5 linked regions of the Macaca fascicularis genome follow. The protein of the gene in region 5 binds, or shares a complex with, the protein of the main gene of each other region. Links are inferred from orthologs where the notes say so. Each region holds a gene or a part of one and is shown on either strand. Other genes may lie near its edges.

Region 1 (3,942 bases), about 54 Mb from region 5:
ATGTTGGCAAGTATTAAAAAAAAAAACAAAACTAAAATCTTCTGCAGACTGAATAAAATGCCCAAAAGGGGCTAATCTGCAATCTCTCTTGAATGTAAGTATCTGGAAGGTTGTTGTCCTCAAGAGGGTATAGAATGGTTCTAGCTCAATCCAGGGACAACCAAGTTATCAAAATTAATGTCACCAGTAGTGGGACAAATAGACTTCATGTGACTGCAGATAGATGAAGGATAACACTACAATCAGACTAGAGCTACAAGGAGAGACATTATATCACAATATAAGGAATAACTTTCTACCATCTGGCTAACAGTCAAATCAGCTGTCCCTGACAGAGTAACATGGGCTCAGTGAAAACCTCCAGAGGGTAGGTGACCATCTCTCGGCAACGCTGTGGGTAAGATTAAACGTGTTGGTGGCTGAGGCTTCCAACACTGAGTCTGTAAATCTACATACATACAACATTTGTTGAAATCTATTTTTCTTAAAAGTCTTTTCTTTGGATTATTAAATGGATAAAAAGCCAGAAAAGGTGCAAAGGGTCCTGCAGGCAATATAAGATGTATATGCTTCGTGAGTCAATTGTTATTGGACACAGAAAAGTGACTTCGAAACAAGTTTGAAACATTTTCCTCTCAAACTTTTTTTTTTTTAAGGTTCACTATTGCTTTCTACCTGCTTAACACAAAGCAGGGATGAGTTCAAGGTGTTGTTTTTTTTTTTTTTTTTTAATCATTAAAAGGGAATAGGTTTGTGGTTATATGCTTCTTGCAATTCAGTAAGCCTTAACACGAAAGTGTCGCTGAATGACCTGAATGGTAAATATATATATATATATATATAAATGAGTTAATGCATATGAAGCATTTAGCACTGTTTCTGGCACATAAGAGGCCTTAAATAAAAGATAGCAACTCTAAGACTCAGGTTAAGATCACCTCCTCCAAATAACCCCAGAAACACCTTCCTTACAGATACCCTCTTTTAATTTCAGCCCATGGCTTATGTCACTTCATTTACAGACTGTGAGTTCTTCGGGACCAGAAACCTGGTGAGATGGGGAGGGTGGTGAAAGACAAGGTCAGACAAGGCAGGGCCAGATCATATAGGGCTTTAGCCCAAGAAAAGAGACTGGATTTTATTCTGCATGGTATGGAAAGTCATGGAAAGGTTCTAAGCAAGAAAGTAAAGTGTTCTGATTTATATTTTTAAATGACTAAGTTGGTTTCTGTGTAGAAAGCTGTTTTGCTTGGTTTGGTTTGGGGTGGAGGGGGGGCAGGAAGGTAAAAGTGGAAGCAGAGATAACCAGGGAGTAGATTACTGCAGTGATACAAGTTAGAGATGAGACTGTCTTGTGTTAAGATGGTGACAACGAAAAGAAGTGGAGAGATTCCAAATACATTTTTGCCAATGTGAAACGAAGAAATCTATCATATCATAAAGTATACACATGCTTAGGATTATAAAAATTAAACTTACTTTAGATACTTGGCATATTCTGGGTCTTTCCAGTAAAGCAAGTATTTAAGATAATTAACAAAAGCTTTGTCTTTGAAGTAACCTCTTTGGGCAAGAACTGAAAAGCATTAAAAAAAAAAATGTCTGTAGGTCAAACCAATCTTTAAACTATGCTTTGTTACCCCTAATGTAAAGGATCTATTTACATAAAACCCCCACCACCAACACACATTGAATTCAAAACACAAATCCCAGTGCGCAATTATATCTATATACCAGCATAAGTGTAATATCATTCAATTGAGAATGTGTAAAAGTAGATACTATTTTGAATTGCAACTCTTCTGTCAGAAATCATTAGTAGCTACTCAATTTAATGAGGTGCTTAACAACTTACAATTAAGGTAATTTGGGTTGGCTAAACATTGCACAAATTCCAACTCCAACTGAAACCGAAGTCGATTTCCAGCATCATCTAGGAGACAAGACAGCAAAAATCATGGAAAGTAAGGGTCACTGTATATAATACTGATTTGCAGTAAGGAAACAGCAATAAAGAAACCTGACTAATGCCGAGATGGTCTTCCTAAACTGGGAGTTGGGGGAGATAAACCTTTCTTCGAAATCTAAGAAAAGCGGAGCCCTGATTAAAAGGAGTTAGAAGTTTCTCTAAAATTAAAGAGAAATCATCAAAGAAAGCAGCAACACAAACGGAGAATTCCTAAGATCACTAAGGTAGGCTGTAACAACTATGGCTTCCCCTATGTTAATAATGCGTTATAACAATTGTTAACAGTGATTAAGTTTTGCAAAAGCTACGTGCTGAATCAGTTAAGAAAAAGTTAGGATGCAAGAGACTGCGTAGAGCCTAAAAGATCATGGAGCGTATGCATATAAGAAGCACCAGTAGCAGAATGACACATAAAGTCCGGCGACGATATTTCAAACTTAGGCAAGCTCATGTGAGAAGCAGAAAACCAATCAAGGAGGAGACGGTTTAACACACAAGTCCTCTCCCTTAGTCTCACCCACGCCGGGGAGCTGGTAGGGTGGTGTCTGAATAGCAAAGATGTGCGAACAAACCAAATTAGGAAAACTGCAAAGAGTACCTTAGTCTTTCTAGAAGCTACAAGAGCCTTCTCACCTCCTTGTCCAAATATTAACCCTGCCGAGATTAAGGCCTGGAAGGAGGCCACGGGGAAGCCGTCTGGACCGAGGGGAGTTCCATCTGCGAAGACTCCAAGATCAGAGAGCTACTCACCTGTCTCCATAGCGACGGCAGCGGCCATAACAAACGAAGACACCAAAACGCCACCAGCCTGACCGAGCAAAAGCCCAGAGTGGCGGGGGAAGTTCCGGAAACCACGGCTCTCTCTTCCGGTCCCGGGGCACTGTGGGATATGGGGCCGGGCGGCTCCGCCCATCCCGCCAGCCCTGGGATGGCTCCACCCGCGCTGGCTTCAAAATAGCGAGCGGGCGGGGCCCGGGCCGTGGGAGCGCCTGAGGGGCAGGAGCCCAGTGTTTTTAGCCTTGGAAGGATCATGGTGTTTCCACGTCATCGTGTTGTGGCGCTCCCGGCTATGGCAGTACCGTAGTTTTCCTCTCTTCTGCCTGCGGTGACCGTTGGGCTGGGGGGTGCCCCGAGGCCTCCTTGGCCCCCTCACGCCGGCAGAATGGCCTCAGCCCGAGGGGCCAAGCAGTCTTCTCCCCGGGTGGGGACCACCCGCTACACAGAGACGTCCACAGTCCGCGTGGAGACCTCGTCCCACCGCGTGGAGACGTCGTCCCGGCGGGTGGAGACCTCCCAGCGCCGCAGCGAGGGGCCCTCCCTCTCCCCCTTGGGGAAGCGGCTCCCTGGCATCCTCGAGGCGTCCTCCCGGCACGTGGAATCCTCCTCGCAGCGCACGGAAACGACCTCCCGCCACATCAGGGCCTCGTCCCTGAGGGTGGAGACGGCTCTGCACTGCGCGGAGAGCCCAGCCCCGCGGGCCAAGCCGGCCGCCCGCCAGAACGAAAAACCGGCCCGATGAGATGCTGCTTCCCAAAGGCCACCAAGGGGCCAGGGCCCTCAGCCAGGACAGAAAGGCCTCCAGTTGCCAGCCAGCTGCCAGGTGGACCAATCATTTTCGGTTTCATGGAAACAAACCATAAATCAATGGAAGAAACAGCCAAGCCGCAGTTTCTGAACACAGCCAACGTTTATTGACCATCCTGCGTCTTGGACCAGCCTACTTTTGACCCAGTGAACTATTTTCACTTGAAGCCAGCACAAAAGATTTTCATGCCCAGGATGCTGTCTAAATTGGCTTGATGGACAAAGAGGCTGTTTGAGCCTCTGAGCCAGGTGAGTTTGGGATCCACAGCCCTCAGAAGACCTTCACCCCTTAGGAACAGAGACCAAACTGAAATCATGACCTGTGGAATGATTCCATGCCTGCTAGAAACTTGAGGGGCAAGGAACAGACTCATAAATTATTAATGGCC
Region 2 (3,937 bases), on a different chromosome or scaffold from region 5:
GCCATCTGCACCTGCTGTAATCCTGAGGTTCCTGCAAGGATCGTCCCAGCTCCTGGCTGGCCTGGCTGGCCAGGACCACTGCTGCCTGAAGGTCTCCAGTTAGACAGTCCTTTCCCAAAGGCAACAGCTGCCACCAAGGCATTAGTGTCTGTAGGGTTAAAGGTCTGCTTGTTTGGCCGGAGACCTGAAGAAAAAGTAAGTGGGGATCCTGAAGTATGTTTCTGATGCAGGACTGAACGTGGCAGCTGGAAGACCAGTATGAGTGCCAGGGTTTAGAGTTCTGAATTCAGCAGCATCTAGACTCCCTCACAGCCCATAAAAAGAGCCAGAGGACCCCCAAGCCTATCTCAGAATTCTCTCTTCTTACTTTGCCCATTTCCTCCACTGCTTCAGGGTTGGCCTTAAATACAAAAGGCTAACAGAATGGATGCAAACCCTAAAGCAGTTCACTCTTGTGTCCTAACTTCACTACTCTCGAAACAACCATTCCCATTCCAGTGATCTTATATACCTCTCCTTCTCTGTTTTGCCACCAGTCCACCATACCTCCACTCTCTGATTCTCGCTCCTCTTTGCTGATTTTCTCCAGAAGGTTTGAACACATTTTATTCAAGCTCTGGATCTGCTTCTGTAACACACAAATTTGTGCAGAGATTAGGGTAACTAGGAAACGATATGGACAAATTTATTCCTTGGGTTCTGCCAGAAGCAGCTTAGGTGCAACCAACTATGCATCCCTACTAGACAGGAATGGTAATGCCTAGCTTCTCATGATGGGATGGGGATGGGGCAGCAAGGCAGTGACTCAGTCCAACCTGGGCTGCATCTGCACCAATGCGGGCAGCATCTGTCGTCAGTTGCTTCTCCTGTTCTTCCACCTCAGGGTCAGGCTTGGTTCTCAGATGGTCAGGGACTACCTCATGGCTGAAAACGGGCACCCGTCCTTCAGTCTGCCGCTGCAACACACAGATTTTATTGATCCTACTATGCACTCCAAGAAGATTCTATCTGGCCTGATATACAGTCCCATCCACAGGCAAACAGTGCATTTTCAAGGAAAATACAACCTAAGACATAATATCTAGTTTCCTAGGACACAATCTCCTTTACTCCAGCCTTCATTTTTTGTGTCTTCTCACATCCCTATCTCTACCAGACCTAGAGGCAAATTAAACTATCACTGTCTGCCACGTTTCAAAGACTGAAACAGACAAAGTCACCAAAGGGCAGACTTTGTGGCTTGAGACAGATGTTGGAGAAGGAAGGTACCAGCCTTGGTGACATACCCCTCAGGTTATTACAACACTATTTGGGAGTGGCTCTCCCACCTTCAGAAGAACAAAAAGCAAGGCCTCCAAAATTATTTCTAAGTTCTCAGCTAAGAACTTAATTTCCCTAAATAGTAAAGAAGCCTAAAAAACTCCTTAATTTCCCAAGTTGTATTCTTTTTCTGCTCTTACCATGAGATCTTCATCTCGGTCTGGAGACAACACCAGAGGGATGATGACCTGGTTACGGAACAGCGGTGTTTTTTCATGCTTCAAGACCTTGTTCAGAGTGTTCAACTGTCCAGAAAGCAAGGCAAAGCTGTCCAGGACAGATGGCCTGTTGGCAGTAAGCAGGTGTCAGAATGTTCCACCCCTTCCTTGGGTGGTTCTTAGTAAAATAGTCCTAGTTCCTTCAGGCTAGGAACACTCGGATTTATCCCCAAAAGTCTCATAGCCCTATGACTAGCCTAAGTGGGAAGAAACTAACAAGGATGACAGGGTTATGAAAGAGGGACATAGTTTCAGTTTATGAAACAGATGTAGAAAAAATCCAGTTCATTGTTTGAATGAGGTGAGGAACAGTGGCAAAATAGGACTATACTGTTATAACTAAAACTTCAGAAACCCGGTAAAATCCTTCTTTCCAGCCTGGAAATAGGATCCACACTTCAGAGTAGGTTGGATCTAAAGGACTCAGCCATATTTGTGGCAAGAGATCCAGCACAAATAGAGCTGTAATAGGAGGACCTCCTCACCAGAGAAGTCAAAGGGTAAGAATTGAAAGCTATAATGAACTTGGGTTAGGAAACCGAGCATTTCTCTACTTCCTTGCCATGGAAGCCACTTGCTAAATGTTACGAAACCCAGCTCTTTCCAAATCAAAAGATGTTTGTAAACTGATAAATGGTTACATCATTAGAAGTGTCCTATTCATCAGAAGGCTAGGCCCCCCCACCCATAAGCCCTCCCTAGCTTGCCCTGGCAACCCTTACCAGGTCAGCCGGCCATACTCGTTCTCCAACTTGCAAATGAAACTTCCCAGTGAGTTCTTCAGATCAGCCACTTGACTCAGCAGTGCATCTAATGATGCCTCAAGCTGCTTCTCCTCTCTCTGCACCAATAGGAACAGGTTGGTTACCCAGATAAACGAGTATGACACATAGAAAGGAGGGCTGAAAAGCCAAGGAGATGGTGTGCAAACACCAGTCAGGTAACAGGATCTCATTGGCATAGGATAACCAGGTTGTTTCCTATCTGTGGTATTTGGGTTATAGACAGCATCAACCCTGAGACCTTTCAACCGTTTGCCTGACCCAAGTACTTCCACCAACTGATTCCTTTTTCCCATCCGCTCCTAATCTATGCCTGGTTTTTCTCTGTATTAGGTACACCCTACACTCCCTCATTGAGACATTTTCGACAAACCTAATGCCAGATCATTATCTCATGTGCACCTCTGTAGCACATGCACTCCAGCTTCCTCCATCCTAGCATTTGTGAGCCTGGCTCTCTTGTCAGTCTCTGGGAAATCTGCCTACTCATGAAGACTTCTCTGAATACCAGCCCTGCTCTCCTCTTTCCCTCCCCCCACCAACCACTCCAGCTTTCCATCTGCTCTCATCATTTCATGTTTCAACCTTCTCCTCGCTGAATTAATATGCACCCATCTATCTCTGTGTCAATATTCCCGTGCCTCTTTCACAAGCTCGGTCAACCCAATAACATTTCTTGAGACTACCAGCTGCAGGAAACTAAGTGACAAATGAAAACCAAAACCGCACATGCTTCTAAGCACTGAACAAACAAATTAAAATGCCGGGGGTCTGCAAAGCATTTCCTTCCCATCGGTGGTATCCTGTTTTATTCCATTTCTTCACCCTTAACAACTATAGGGCACAGGCTGGGAAGAGTGATGCAAAACTGTCTTGCAAACCTGCTAAGGTGCCTGACAGGAACTTGATCCTGGGTTCCACCATGGCCTCACATTACAAGCTGCTTAGCTTTCGGACACCGCGGCCCACAATTCCCTCACTGCTTGGGCTTCTTTCCAATTAGATCCCCTGCTATATCGGCATCCAACAGCCTCCATCCAGCAGCTTAGGACAGGGCCTGAGCCAACCCACCACCTCCTGAGCCGTCTTCCTTGGACTGCATCTCGGCCTCCCCGTATTACAACCTAATCCTTTCCCACGCCAAGCAAGTCAGTGCTGCCTCCTCCCTCCGGATTTAGCCCGACCGCCTTCTGTCAGGCGAGCTCCACCCCCACCTCTCATCTGCGCCGCTCCCTCTCCAATTAACCTCGCCCCCCAACCCACGTTCCCTTATCAGCCGTGGGTTCTGCCCTCTTTTCTCAGTCCCAACTCTTCATTCTCCTTAGCCAGCCCACTCTGGCTCCCTGTAGCCGAAGCTGGCCAGCCGCTAGCACTCCCAACGCGGCTCTCACCTGCATTGCGGCGGCCGAGGCGACTGCAACGATTTCCACTTCCGGTTTCCTGTCAGCAAACGCCTCTGAGAAGGCTTCGTCCACCAATCAGAAAACTGGAACTCGGCCCTCCCACCCACTTCCTGTTCCTTCCGGGTGCCGAGGTAGCCAGGTCAGGGGTCAAGAGTGGAACACACGGGCCCGGGCCGGCGCGGGAGGGCTTGTGTGATGGCCTCGGAGCGCCCCG
Region 3 (4,210 bases), on a different chromosome or scaffold from region 5:
TTCTCTACTCCTCCATAACCAAACTACACATGTTGTCTCCCAATCTCGTATCACAATCACTTTTGCTTTATGTTACAGATTGATTTCCAATAGCAAACACTTACTTGTATCTCTCATAAACACTGACAAAATTAACACTGCTAAATACTAAACACATGGTATTATCCAAAGTTCCTGAATGAAATGATTCAGTTCCATATCCTTTTTGTCACAGTAAACTATGCAATTTTATATGGACACATTAACTTTTTTTTTCTTTTTTTTGAGACGGAGTCTTGCTCTGATGCCCAGGCTGGAGTGCAGTGGTGCGATCTCAGCTCACTGCAACCTCCGCCTCCTGGGCTCAAGCAATTCTTCTGCCTCAGCCTCCCAAGTAGCTGGGATTACAGGCGCACACCACCATGCCCGGCTAATTTTTGTATTTTTAGTAGAGACAGGATTTCGCCATGTTGGCCAAGTTGGTCTCTTAATTCCCCACCTCAGGTGATCCGCCCACCCTGGCCTCCCAAAGTGCTGGGATTACAGGTGTGAGCCACCGCGCCCGGCCTGTATGGACACATTAACTTCCCTACAACTATCACAGAAATTTCAAACCCCAGGTTCAAACCCAGTATCTTCTATGGCCATAATAACCTCTACTTACTCTACCTTAAGCCTAGATATACCATCCAATGAGAAGATTCTGAAGTGCTCCTTTACACTGGTATTATCAAAGTTTCAAGATATAACACCCTCTAACATCAGGTGGGGCAAGTATTCTATTAGAAGCAATATTATACTTAGAATTCGTGAGGTACTAAGGGCAGGCATGGTGCAGCCCTGAGTTTCCACCATGCCACAGTAGTGCATAGGATGATGCAGCCTCGACCTCCCAGGCTCAAGCCATCCTCCCACCTCAACCTCCCAAGCAGCTGGGAGTACGAGGCAAATGTCACCACGCCCAGCTAATTTTTGTATATTTTGTAGAGACAGAGTTTTGCCATGTTACTCCGGGTGGTTTTGAACTCCTGAGGTCAAGCAATCCTCCTGCCTTGGCCTCCCAAAGTGCTGGGACTACAGGTGTGAGCCACCACTCCCAGCCAACATTTTAAAACTTATAACATAAATTCAGATTACAGAAAAAGTGCATGCATATACAAAGAACACTTCATATTCTTCACTCAGATTCTCCAAATGTTAACATTTTCCTTCATTTGCTTTATTGGTTTCTCATTCCTTCACCCCTGAATACTTCAATGTGTTTTCCCAGGACAAGAATGTTTTCTTCTACCCACAGCACAATTACCAAAATCAAGGAATTAACATTGATCTGGTACTTCAAAACACAATTTTTGACACCTTACGTTTCATTCCACTCAAACCTTTTTAGGTGACGAGTGCTGCTCTGTACTTTCCTACACGATGTGCATTCCTGTACTTAGGTTGTCATTTTCCTAAGGCAACTACGTGACAGATACTGTTGTTTTATGGCCTCTCTAACATAATCTTCATAACAATTCTATGAATTAAGGTTGTTTGTTTTGTTTTTTGAGACAAGGTCTCAATCTGTCTCCCACGCTGGAGGGCAGTGGTATGATCAGGGCTCACCGCAACCTCTGCCTCCCGGGTTCAAGGGATTCACCTGCATGACCCTCCTGAGTAGCTAGGGACTACAAGTGTGTGCCACCACGCCCAGCTAATTTTTTATTTCTCGGTAAAGACAGGTTTTCACCATGTTGGCCAGGCTGGTCTGGAACTCCCGACCTCAAGTGATCCGCCCACCTCGGCCTCCCAAAGTGCTGGGATTATAGGCGTGAGCCACCACAGGGTCCCATGAATTAAGTTCTATTATCAATTTCATTTTAGAGGTGAAGATCCCAAGTCTCAATGAGGGGAAGTGTTGCCCCAGATCAAAAAGTTAATAAATGGTACAACAGGAATTCTTATCCCAGGTCCCTTTAGCTCCAAAGGGCAAGCTCTCTTATATCTCTAAGCCGTGAAGCATCTAATTGTACAATTAGAACTTGCATATTACAAAAATTATATTTTTCTCTACTGTCTCTCTAGATGGAACTTTTCAAAGGCGATGGAAGTCTTATTTTAATAAAACCAGAGCAAAGCATCATAACTGGTTCTCAGACTCAAGATCCAACATCTAGTGTTTGTTCTGGGGGAGAAGGCGCCTCACCAGAAGACGACAGATATTCCAGGGTCCCAGCCCCAGAGATTTGATTCATTCTGTCCACTGTGAATGGGCCCTGGTATGTCGCTTTAAAAACCTCTCCAGATGGACCTGACGATTAGGCTTGGTTGGGATCTACTGCCCTCGCCTGCCCCCGTATCTCAGCTGTTTCACAACTGCTCCCAGAAGAAGGAAGGGCAGGGAGGGCTACTCTCATGTTACAAAGGGCCAGAAAGGGCAAATAACTCGCCCAAGGCCACACAGCCTAGAAAAACAGCGGCGAGGGGACTAGACACCACGTCTCCCAACCTCCACTCCGGCTCGGCGTCCCCACACGGAGGAAGCCCTGGGACTGCAGCGCTAAGAGCCCCCTCCTCCAGGCTGTCCATCCCGAGACCTCCACGAGCGGCGGGGAGGCCGCGCTCTCGGAGAGACTCGGGACAGAAAGACGAGAGAGCGTCTTCGGAGGCCGAACTCCTCCATGCCTCCCCAGTTCCCAGCCCAGCACAGAGGAAACCGCGGGGTCCGGAAGAAAAAAACGCACACACGCAGGGGCCCCAAGCCGTTGCCGCCCACTCACCTCAACTCTGGCTTTACACTGGTAGCCGCCTTCCCCCTCTGCAGCCGAAACCAATTTCCGGTCTCCTCCTGGAAGAAGCCACCGACTCTGTCTTTGATTGGCTGTAGGAGCTGTCCTTTAACGAGATTCTAGATCCGCCTCAGACCGATCGCTCGCTATTGCGCCTGCGTATATTCGACTCCTGCCATCGCCACCCCTTTTACTGACTTTTAAAAGTAGTAAGTGAGGGTTGTTTCTTCGTTTCTTTAAGGCATAAAATTAAACAAGACATCTTATTGCTTTATTTTTTATAGACCCCTTATTGACTAGAAAAAATCTTATATTTTAATATGTAACATGCTCTTGTAAGACTTCCATGAATTTAGACATTTATGACGCGAAAATAACCTCCCAAAGAAAACCTAGCAAAGGTTGTTCGTGTGTTCCACCCGCTGCCCGCATTACAACTCTTCTGCTGACAGTCGCAGCTGGTAGTTCCATTCCTTTTGTCTTTTCTTTTTTAATTTAACCCATACAATGAAGACATCTTACATAAAAATTCGAAAATACAGATATGCAGGGTTTTTTGTTGGTTTATTTTGTTTTATTTTTTTTTTTTTTTTCTTTGAGACGGAGTGTCTTTCGCCCAGGCTGGAGTGCAGTGGCGCGATTTCGGCTCGCTGCAACCTCTGTCTCCGGGGTTCAAGCGATTCGCGTGCCTCAGCCTCCCAAGTAGCTGGGATTACAGGCATGTGCCACCACACCCGACTAATTTTTTTTTTTTTCCTTTTTTTGTATTTTTAGTAGAGACAGGGTTTCACCATGTTGGTGAGGCTGGTCTCGAGCTCCTGACCTACAGTGATCCGCCCGCCTTGGCCACCCAAAGTGCTGGAATTACGGGCGTGAACCACGTAGCCCGGCCTCCCCCATTTTAATTCCCCCGCACATATAAATTTATTTCCTGAAGAAATTCATCCTCACTGCTGACCCCAATATGTCCTGCACCCGTGACTTCCAATGCTTGTTCCCAGTCCTCGTTTTACTCCCTCTGTCAGCAGCATTTGGCACATTTGATTATTTGGATTGCCCCAGGACTCAGTTCTCCAACCACTTCTCAGTCAGATATCACCCAGATACATGCAGGCCCTGGAACACCGTTTCCTCTGCACTTCAGACCCTCATATCCAGTGGTGACAGACATCTTTACCCCGTTGCACTTTACTCAATTGCAAATGTTCAATCTAAGGAATCACCTTTTTCTCCTTTCTCCCATACCCCACCGAAACTACCATACCAGCCTTTTGCATTAGCTCTATTTAAAAATAAGTAAATAAAGTTCCAAATATGACTGACCACCGTCCCTACTGGTATGGTCCTATGCCATGCTGCCATTATCTCTCATCTGGATTTCTTTGATTTTTGTCCTGCCTTAGTCTATTTACCACACCTTCTTAAAATATAAAACCAATCTTAACGCTCTTCTATTCAAA
Region 4 (4,265 bases), on a different chromosome or scaffold from region 5:
GAATCGCCTGAACCTGGGAGGCGGAGGTTTCAGTGAGCCGAGATTGCGCCATTGCACTCCAGCCTGCGCAACAAGAGCAAAACTCTGTCTCAGGAGAAAAAAAAAAAAAAAAAAAAGAGAGAGAAAGGCAGCATCTTGGAGACCAAACATGTCCAAAACAACTCGATTTCCACCTCTTCAAACTTGTTCCTTCCTCATCTTCCAAGTCTCATACCCATACACCCAATTATTCAAGCTGAAAACTTAAAAAGGCATCAATTCTTCTATCTCCTTCACTTCTATATACAATATGTATTTTTAACTGAGACAGCTTCTTCCTCTATCATCTAAGCTGGAGCACAGTGGCACAATCACAGCTCACTGCAGCCTCAACTTCCTGGGCTCAAGTGATTCTACCACCTCAGCTTCCTAAGTAGCTGAGACTACAGGTGTACGCTGCTATCCCTAGCTAATTTACTTTTATTTTTTGTAGAGATGGGGTCTCATTATATTGCCCAGGCTGGTCTCAAACTTTTGGGCTCAAGCAGTCCTCCCACCTCAGCCTCCCAAAGTGCTGGGATTACTGGCGTTAGCCACAGCACCTGGCCCTATATTCAGCTTTTCAACCCTGTCAGCTCTACGTCTAACACCCTGTATCCATTTACTTCTCTAAATAAGTACATTTGACCAAGTTCCTATGTTAAAATGGCTTTCCTTGGCTGGGCACAGTGGCTCAGGCCTATAATCCTAGCACTTTGGGTGGCCAAGGTGGGAGGACTGTCATTGGCCAGGAGTTCAAGACCAGCTTGGGCAACACAGTAAGACCCAGTCTTTACAAAAAATTTTTAAGTTAGCCAACTGTGGTGGCACATGCCTGCAGTCCTAGCTACTTGGGAGGCTGAGGTGGGAGGACAGCATGCGCCTAGGAATTGGAGGTTACAGTGAGCTATGACTGTACCACTGCAGTCCAGCCTGGGTGACACAGTGAGACCTTGTCTCTATAAAAAATTGTTTTAAATGGCTTCCTTTTGTATTTACAATCTAAATGCCTTTATTGCTTTATAAAAGCCTCTGCCTAACTCTCCCAGCTTCATCTCTCTCCTAACACTCTTTCCTTTTGTTCACTTCACTGGAGTCCAACTGATTTTCTGTCCCTCAGATATTCTAAGCTTTTTCTCACATCAGGGTTTCTGACCTCATTTCCTGTATCTAGAATTATCTCTCCCTCCTGTCCATAGCTGGCTGGCCCTTTGTCTATGCTTACATTTTAGTTCAAATTTTAGCTATGTGGAGAGAGCATCTCTGGCCACTCTAGCTAAAGTAGTTCTGCCCCTCAATTTTTTTTTTAAGAGACAGGGTCTCATCTGTTGCCCAGGCTGGAGTGCAGTGGCACAATCTTGGTTCACTGCAGCCTGGACCTCCTGTGTTCAAGCAATTCTCCTCCCTTAGTCTCCTGAGTAGCTGGGGCTACAGGCAAGCACTACCACGGCCGGCTAATCTTGTATGTTTTGTAGAGACTGGGTCTCGCCATGTTGCCCAGGCTGGTCTCAAACTCCTGGGCTCAAGGGATCCTCCTGCCTCAGCCTACCCAAGCGCTGGGATTACAGGCGTGAGCAATGCGCCTGGCCACCTTCAATTTTTTATAATGTTTTCTCTTCCTAGCATTAACCACTCTCTGACATTATCTTGTTTACAATGCCTCCTACACTGAAATGTACATTCCAAAAAAGGCAAGCATCTTGTCAGTCTCGTTCACAACTGTATCTCCAGCATTTAGAAAAGTGCTTGGTACATAGGTACTCAACAAAATAATTTTTTGAATGAAAAGAGTTTGGTTCGATTCTTACCCCTTCTTTGATGACACCAGGAAACGCAGAAATCTTGGAAGAGTGGCAACTTGCCCCAAACCCACAGCAAGTCTGTGGGAGACTTGTAACTAAAACTTTAGGTCCCCAAAGATATTAAATCAGGCCTCTCGAGTTCCAAACTCAAACTCTTGATTTTTTGTTTGTTTGTTTTTGTTTTGAGACGGAGTCTCATTCTATCGCCCAGGCTGGAGTGCAGTGGAGCAATCTCGGCTCAATGCAACCTCCGCCTCCCGGGTTCCGAGTAGCTGGAATTAAAGGCATACGCCACCACGCCCAAGTAATTTTTGTGTTTTTAGTACAGACAGAGTTGCATCATGTTGGCCAGGCTGGTCTCGAACTCCTGACCTGAGGTGATTCGCCCGCCTCCGTCTCCCAGAGTGTTGGGATTACAGGCGTGAGCCACTGCGCCCAGCCCTAGATAATTTTTTAGGGAGACATAAACCAGTGTCAGGAACACAGCCTGGACATGGTGCAAAAGACAGTCACGGAGATGCACCACCCCGCTCCCCGCCATTCATCCCTTTGGTTGAATTCAACTCATCCCTCTGCTTGTGAATCCTAATAGCCCTTTCGACTTAGGGCTCCACAGTCCGGGTATGCGTTGCCTAGGTTACCTCGCACCTCCGTTAGCCGGCTGAGAGCCACGCCCAACACCTCCTCTCTAAGATTTGATTGGCTGGCTTTGGCAAGGCCGAGTACTCACCTGGCAGTTCCCTCATGAGGTAAAAAGGGCCACAGCCAGCTCCTGACTTGTCCGCGCCGGGAGGGGCCGTGGCCGCGGTGGGAGGCGGAGCCGTGCCGGGTCCCCCGCCCGGAGGAGGCGGTGGCGGGGGTGGAGGCTTTCCTGGTCCGAAGCCTAGTGCGGTTGGGGGCGGTGGTGGGTCAGCCTGAGCCCCGAACAGCGCCGTGAAATTCTCCATCGTCCCCTCCGCCCCGGCGCTGTCTCGGTGTCTGGCGTTGGTAATTTTCATTGGACAATGCCTTTAAGGAATACCCACCTCTTTCTCAAGGAACCGCTTGTCATTGGATGCCTCAGGCACCGCCTACCTTGTTTCAACAACTACTTCCGTCGCTCTCTGAGAACGTTCAGGAAGTGCTATTTAACCTTATTAGAGTCTTCTGCTAGCTACGTTAGCTACAGTCCAATAAAATGACTTAAGCTGATAAAGCGACAGCTAGACCAACCAATAAGATATTAAGTTCTTTTTTGGGTTCTGACATACCACAGCGTTGACAGAACTACATCCGGGTTTAGAGGCCGTACGTTTGAGATGTAGCCCAATAGCAGTCGCTATGGTGGGGGAGGCGGGGCCGGACCTACGACGCCGGTGAGCAGTGGCCCTTGCGGCCGAAAAGATGGCGGTCTTGGCTCCTCTAATTGCTCTGGTGTATTCGGTGCCGCGACTTTCACGATGGCTTGCCCAACCTTACTACCTTCTGTCGGCCCTGCTCTCTGCTGCCTTCCTACTCGTGAGGAAACTGCCGCCACTCTGCGACGGTTTGCCCACCCAACGCGAAGACGGTAACCCGTGTGACTTTGACTGGGTGAGCGTCCCGCGTCTCAGTACCGCGACCTTGACTGTCCCTGCCCTTGCAGGTGCATCTGGGAACCCTGGGGTTTACCTTTCTGAGGACACCTGAGGTTCCGAGCCTGTAGCGGATTTAACAGACTGTAAAGTGCAGAGTCCGAAACATCGTCGAGACTAAACTTTGTGTTTAATATGGGAAAACGGAACCTGTTAGTCGTAGCCCTGTACAACGGCCCAACAGCTTCTGACTGTTGAGTCCAGGTTTCTTTCCATTTCACCATTTAGACTAAGAAACAGCCCTGTCAAAACTGTACATATACGTGTATAGCATCTTACAGTGCCGCTCATTATGTAAAGCCTCCTGAGGAGCCAGTAAGGTAGGGAAGGCAAGTAGTAGTAGTCCTGTTTCATTGGTGAAGGAATGGATCTTGGTATATTTAGGCGACTTGCCCCAGGTCATGCAACTAATGAGTGCCTGGGACTTGAAACTATTCTTGTGGCCACACTACCTGCACACACTGTCAGCCGTTTCTTAATTCAATCAACATTTCTAGAGTGTACACTCTAGGCACTCTGCTTGATCCTGAGGATGCGAAAGTGGATAAAATTTTGGGGCTACTGTAAAGGAATTGTAAAAAATAAGTTGTAAAGAAATCTTTGGGCTTTCTTTGAGAAGTGTCCCAAGCTCCTTGCTGTGCTTCCTTGGAATGGGTGGAGGGACTGCTCAGAACATGAACTTAAAGCACTTTACCCTCTGCTATATAGCATGTAAGGGCCAAGGCAAAGCTTCCCCTTAGCTCTCTGAGGGTTTGTTGAAAAATCAGCCGACAAAGGGCACGTTAATAGGAGAAAGGCACAGAAATTTTATTTTAACGTGCATAGCATGAGG
Region 5 (3,500 bases):
CTTCGCCGTGTGTGCTTCGCCGTGTGTGTGCTTCAGCGTGTGTGTGCTTCAGCATGTGTGTGCTTCAGTGTGTGTGCTTCGCCGTGTGTGTGCTTCAGTGTGTGTGCTTCACCGTGTGTGTGCTTCAGCGTGTGTGTGCTTCAGTGTGTGTGCTTCGCCGTGTGTGCTTCAGTGTGTGTGTGCTTCAGTGTGTGTGTGCTTCAGCGTGTGTGTGCTTCAGTGTGTGTGCTTCGCCGTGTGTGCTTCGCCGTGTGTGTGCTTCAGCGTGTGTGTGCTTCAGCATGTGTGTGCTTCAGTGTGTGTGCTTTGCCGTGTGTGTGCTTCGCCGTGTGTGTGCTTCAGTGTGTGTGCTTCACCGTGTGTGTGCTTCAGCGTGTGTGTGCTTCAGCGTGTGTGTGCTTCACCGTGTGTGTGCTTCGCCGTGTGTGTGCTTCAGTGTGTGTGCTTCAGCGTGTGCGTGCTTCGCCGTGTGCGTGCTTCAGCGTGTGTGTGCTTCAGTGTGTGTGTTTCAGCGTGCGTGTGCTTCAGCGTGTGTGTGCTTCAGCGTGTGTCTGCTTCAGCGTGTGTGTGCTTCAGCGTGTGTGTGCTTCAGTGTGTGTGTGCATCAGTGTATGTGCACTTCGCTGTGTGTGCGCTTCAGCATGTGCGTGTGCTTCAGTGTGTGTGCTTCAGCGTATGTGTGTGCTTCAGTGTGTGTGTGCTTCAGTGTGTGTGTGCTTCACCGTGTGTGCGCTTCAGCATGTGCGTGTGCTTCAGCGTGTGTGCTTCAGCGTATGTGTGTGCTTCAGTATGTGTGTGTGCTTCAGCATATGTGTGTACTTCAGCGTGTGCGTGCTTCAGCGTGTGTGTGCTTCAGCGTGTGCGTGCTTCAGCGTGTGTGTGCTTCAGCGTGTGTGTGCTTCAGTGTGTGTGTGCTTCACCGTGTGCGTGCTTCACTGTGTGTGTGCTTCAGTGTGTGTGCTTCACTGTGTGTGTGCTTCAGCGTGTGTGTGCTTCAGTGTGTGTGTGCTTTGCCATGTGCGTGCTTCAGCGTGTGTGTGCTTCAGCGTGTGTGTGCTTCAGTGTGTGTGTGCTTCGCCGTGTGCGTGCTTCACTGTGTGTGTGCTTCAGTGTGTGTGCTTCACTGTGTGTGTGCTTCAGCGTGTGTGTGCTTCAGTGTGTGTGTGCTTTGCCATGTGTGTGCTTCAGCATGTGTGTGCTTCAGTGTGTGTGTGTGCTTCAGCGTGTGTGTGCACCCACAGCATACACCCAGGCTCCAGGCAGAAGGCAGCCAGGCAGCTCAGGCTGATGTCTCCAGCAGACAAGGTTGCCTGAGATGATCAGGGCCTGGTGGCCCTGGAAACCAGGTGGACACTTCTGCCTCTTTCTAGGACTTCACTGAGGATGTCAACTGTGCTTTTGAGTTCCTGCTGAAACTCACACCCTTGTTGGACAAAGCTGACCAGCGCTGCAAGTATGAGCTCCCCTGGTCACCCCTACCCTACTGGAAGGGGTTCTGGGCTCTTCCCCTGATCTCTGTGCCAGAGAAGCCTCAGGGGACTCTGTCTCCTTGTTCACTCCCCTTGGCAGGGGCAGGAAGCAGCAGCCCACAGTTGCCAAGTCCCCAGAGCCCCTCTACTGTCCCTCAGGCCCTCCAGATTTTCCTCACCTGAAAGAGGGAGGATGCTGCTCAGGGACTGGCCACTCCCACCCCTCGCCCTCCCAGCCAGGTGCCCAGTTCCCTCCACATCTTTCTCTTTCACAGCTGTGACTGTACAAACTTCCTGCTCCAAGAATGTGGCAAGCAGGGGCTTCTGTCTGAGGCCAGTGTCAACAGCCTTATGGCTAAGCGGTAAGTGTGAGCGCGCCTGGGCTACCCCAAGAGCCCCTTGACCTCTCTCTCTTTACGGTGGGGCTGCTGGGTGCCTTTCAACCTCCTGTCTAAAGTTTGAGTTGCACGTGACTGGGACTGTGCCTGGGGGTACCAGCCGGGTGCGGTGACTCAGGCCTGTCATCCCAGCACTTTGGGAGGCTGAGGTGGGTGGATCACCTGAGGTCGGGAGTTCAAGACCAGCCTGACCAACGTAGAGAAACCCCATCTCCGCTAAAAATAAAAAATTAGCTGTGGTGGCACATGCCTGTAATCCCAGCTACCTGGGAGGCTGAGGCAGGAGAATCACTTGAACCCGGGAGACGGAGGTTGCGATGAGGCAAGATTACGCCATTGCACTCCAGCCTGGGCAACAAGAGCAAAACTCTGTCTCAAAAAAAAAAAAAAAAAAAAGCATGGGTGTCTTCAGACCAGAGTTTTACGTTCTTAGTCATTGCTCTTTAACTCATACCCATCTTTCTGATAAAAGTAAAAATCCTAGGCCGGAGGCAGATGGATTACTTGGAGGCCAGGAGTTCAAGACCAGCCTGCCCAACATGGCAAAACCCCATGTCTACTAAAAATACAAAAATCAGCCGGGCATAGTGGTGTGTGCCTGTAATCTCAGCTACTCTGGAGGCTGAAGCATGAGAATTGCTTGAACCCAGGAGGCAGAGGTTGCGATGAGGCGAAATCATGCCACTGCACCCCAGTCTGAGTGATAGAGTGGGACCTTGTCTCAAAAAAAAAAAATAAGTAAAAATCCTGAATCTTCCTTTAATCTTAAATGTGCTTTAAGAACATTTAAGACTAATGATAGGCTGGGTGCAATGCTTCACACCTGTAATCCCAGCACTTTGTGAGGCCGAGGTGGGCGGATCATGAGGTCAGGAGTTCGAGACCAGCCTGGTCAACATAGTGAAACCCCATCTCTACTAAAAATACAAAAATTAGCTGGGCGTGGTGGTATACACAGTAGTAGTAATTCCAGCTACTCAGGAGGCTGAGGCAGGAGAATCGCTTGAACCCAGAAGGCGGAGGTTGTAGTGAGCTGAGATTATGCCACTGCATTCTAGCCTGGGTGACAGAGCGAGACTCTGTCTCAAAAAACAAAAGACTAATGATAAATAGCCAGGCGCAGTGGCTCACCTGTCATCCCAGGACTTTGGGAGGCCAAGGTGGGCGGGTCACCTGAGGTCAGGAGTTTGAGACCAGACTGGCCAACATGGTGAAATCCCGTCTCTACTAAAAATACAAAAAAGTAGCCTGGCGTGGTGGTGAGTGCCCAGCTGCTCGGAGGGCAGAGGCTGCAGTGAGCCGAGATTGCACCACTGTACTCCAGCCTAGGCGACAGAGTGAGACCTGTCTCGAAAAAAAAAAAAGACTCAGGATAAATCAATGATTGCGACATTGACTATGCGTCCATAAACTTCAGCTGAGATCGCACCACTGCACTTCAGCCGGGGCGACAGAGCGAGACTCCGTCTCAAAAAAAAAAAAAAAAAAAAAAGAATTTCACCCCAATCTGGATATTCTTACATGCTTCCCACCTCCTCTGCTCATTTCCTTCTGGGCTTGAACGAGGGAATGTGTCAAGAATTTCTCTTCATTCCTCTTCCCTTCCTTGACCAACTGGTGATGTCCACAGCAA

The links. Proteins that work in one complex are often made in the same cells at the same time.
Region 1: MED24 (region 5) and MED31 share a complex: the UniProt entries of both Homo sapiens proteins name them as parts of the mediator complex. The link is inferred for Macaca fascicularis from reciprocal best matches to the Homo sapiens genes MED24 and MED31.
Region 2: MED24 (region 5) and MED8 share a complex: the UniProt entries of both Homo sapiens proteins name them as parts of the mediator complex. The link is inferred for Macaca fascicularis from reciprocal best matches to the Homo sapiens genes MED24 and MED8.
Region 3: MED24 (region 5) and MED7 share a complex: the UniProt entries of both Homo sapiens proteins name them as parts of the mediator complex. The link is inferred for Macaca fascicularis from reciprocal best matches to the Homo sapiens genes MED24 and MED7.
Region 4: MED24 (region 5) and MED19 share a complex: the UniProt entries of both Homo sapiens proteins name them as parts of the mediator complex. The link is inferred for Macaca fascicularis from reciprocal best matches to the Homo sapiens genes MED24 and MED19.

Annotation. Positions count from the first base shown.
Region 1 is NC_088390.1:6,692,436-6,696,377, forward strand, and holds the start of MED31 (mediator of RNA polymerase II transcription subunit 31), read right to left. Parts: upstream 2,801-3,942; 5' UTR 2,748-2,800; coding exon 2,720-2,747; intron 1,934-2,719; coding exon 1,856-1,933; intron 1,577-1,855; coding exon 1,480-1,576; intron 1-1,479. Other genes in the region: C16H17orf100 (uncharacterized protein C17orf100 homolog), read left to right, coding at 3,132-3,488. UniProt on the Homo sapiens protein: Component of the Mediator complex, a coactivator involved in the regulated transcription of nearly all RNA polymerase II-dependent genes.
Region 2 is NC_088375.1:191,388,300-191,392,236, reverse strand, and holds the start of MED8 (mediator of RNA polymerase II transcription subunit 8), read right to left. Parts: upstream 2,801-3,937; 5' UTR 2,617-2,800; coding exon 2,261-2,616; intron 1,606-2,260; coding exon 1,461-1,605; intron 957-1,460; coding exon 816-956; intron 629-815; coding exon 547-628; intron 185-546; coding exon 1-184. Other genes in the region: KICSTOR complex protein SZT2, read left to right, coding at 3,919-3,937. UniProt on the Homo sapiens protein: Component of the Mediator complex, a coactivator involved in the regulated transcription of nearly all RNA polymerase II-dependent genes.
Region 3 is NC_088380.1:163,931,908-163,936,117, forward strand, and holds the start of MED7 (mediator of RNA polymerase II transcription subunit 7), read right to left. Parts: upstream 2,801-4,210; 5' UTR 2,742-2,800; exon of another isoform or gene 2,346-2,741; intron 1-2,345. UniProt on the Homo sapiens protein: Component of the Mediator complex, a coactivator involved in the regulated transcription of nearly all RNA polymerase II-dependent genes.
Region 4 is NC_088388.1:15,892,750-15,897,014, reverse strand, and holds the start of MED19 (mediator of RNA polymerase II transcription subunit 19), read right to left. Parts: upstream 2,801-4,265; 5' UTR 2,768-2,800; coding exon 2,551-2,767; intron 1-2,550. Other genes in the region: TMX2 (thioredoxin-related transmembrane protein 2), read left to right, coding at 3,204-3,392. UniProt on the Homo sapiens protein: Component of the Mediator complex, a coactivator involved in the regulated transcription of nearly all RNA polymerase II-dependent genes.
Region 5 is NC_088390.1:61,093,043-61,096,542, reverse strand, and holds part of MED24 (mediator of RNA polymerase II transcription subunit 24), read left to right. Parts: intron 1-1,370; coding exon 1,371-1,453; intron 1,454-1,744; coding exon 1,745-1,831; intron 1,832-3,497; coding exon 3,498-3,500. UniProt on the Homo sapiens protein: Component of the Mediator complex, a coactivator involved in the regulated transcription of nearly all RNA polymerase II-dependent genes.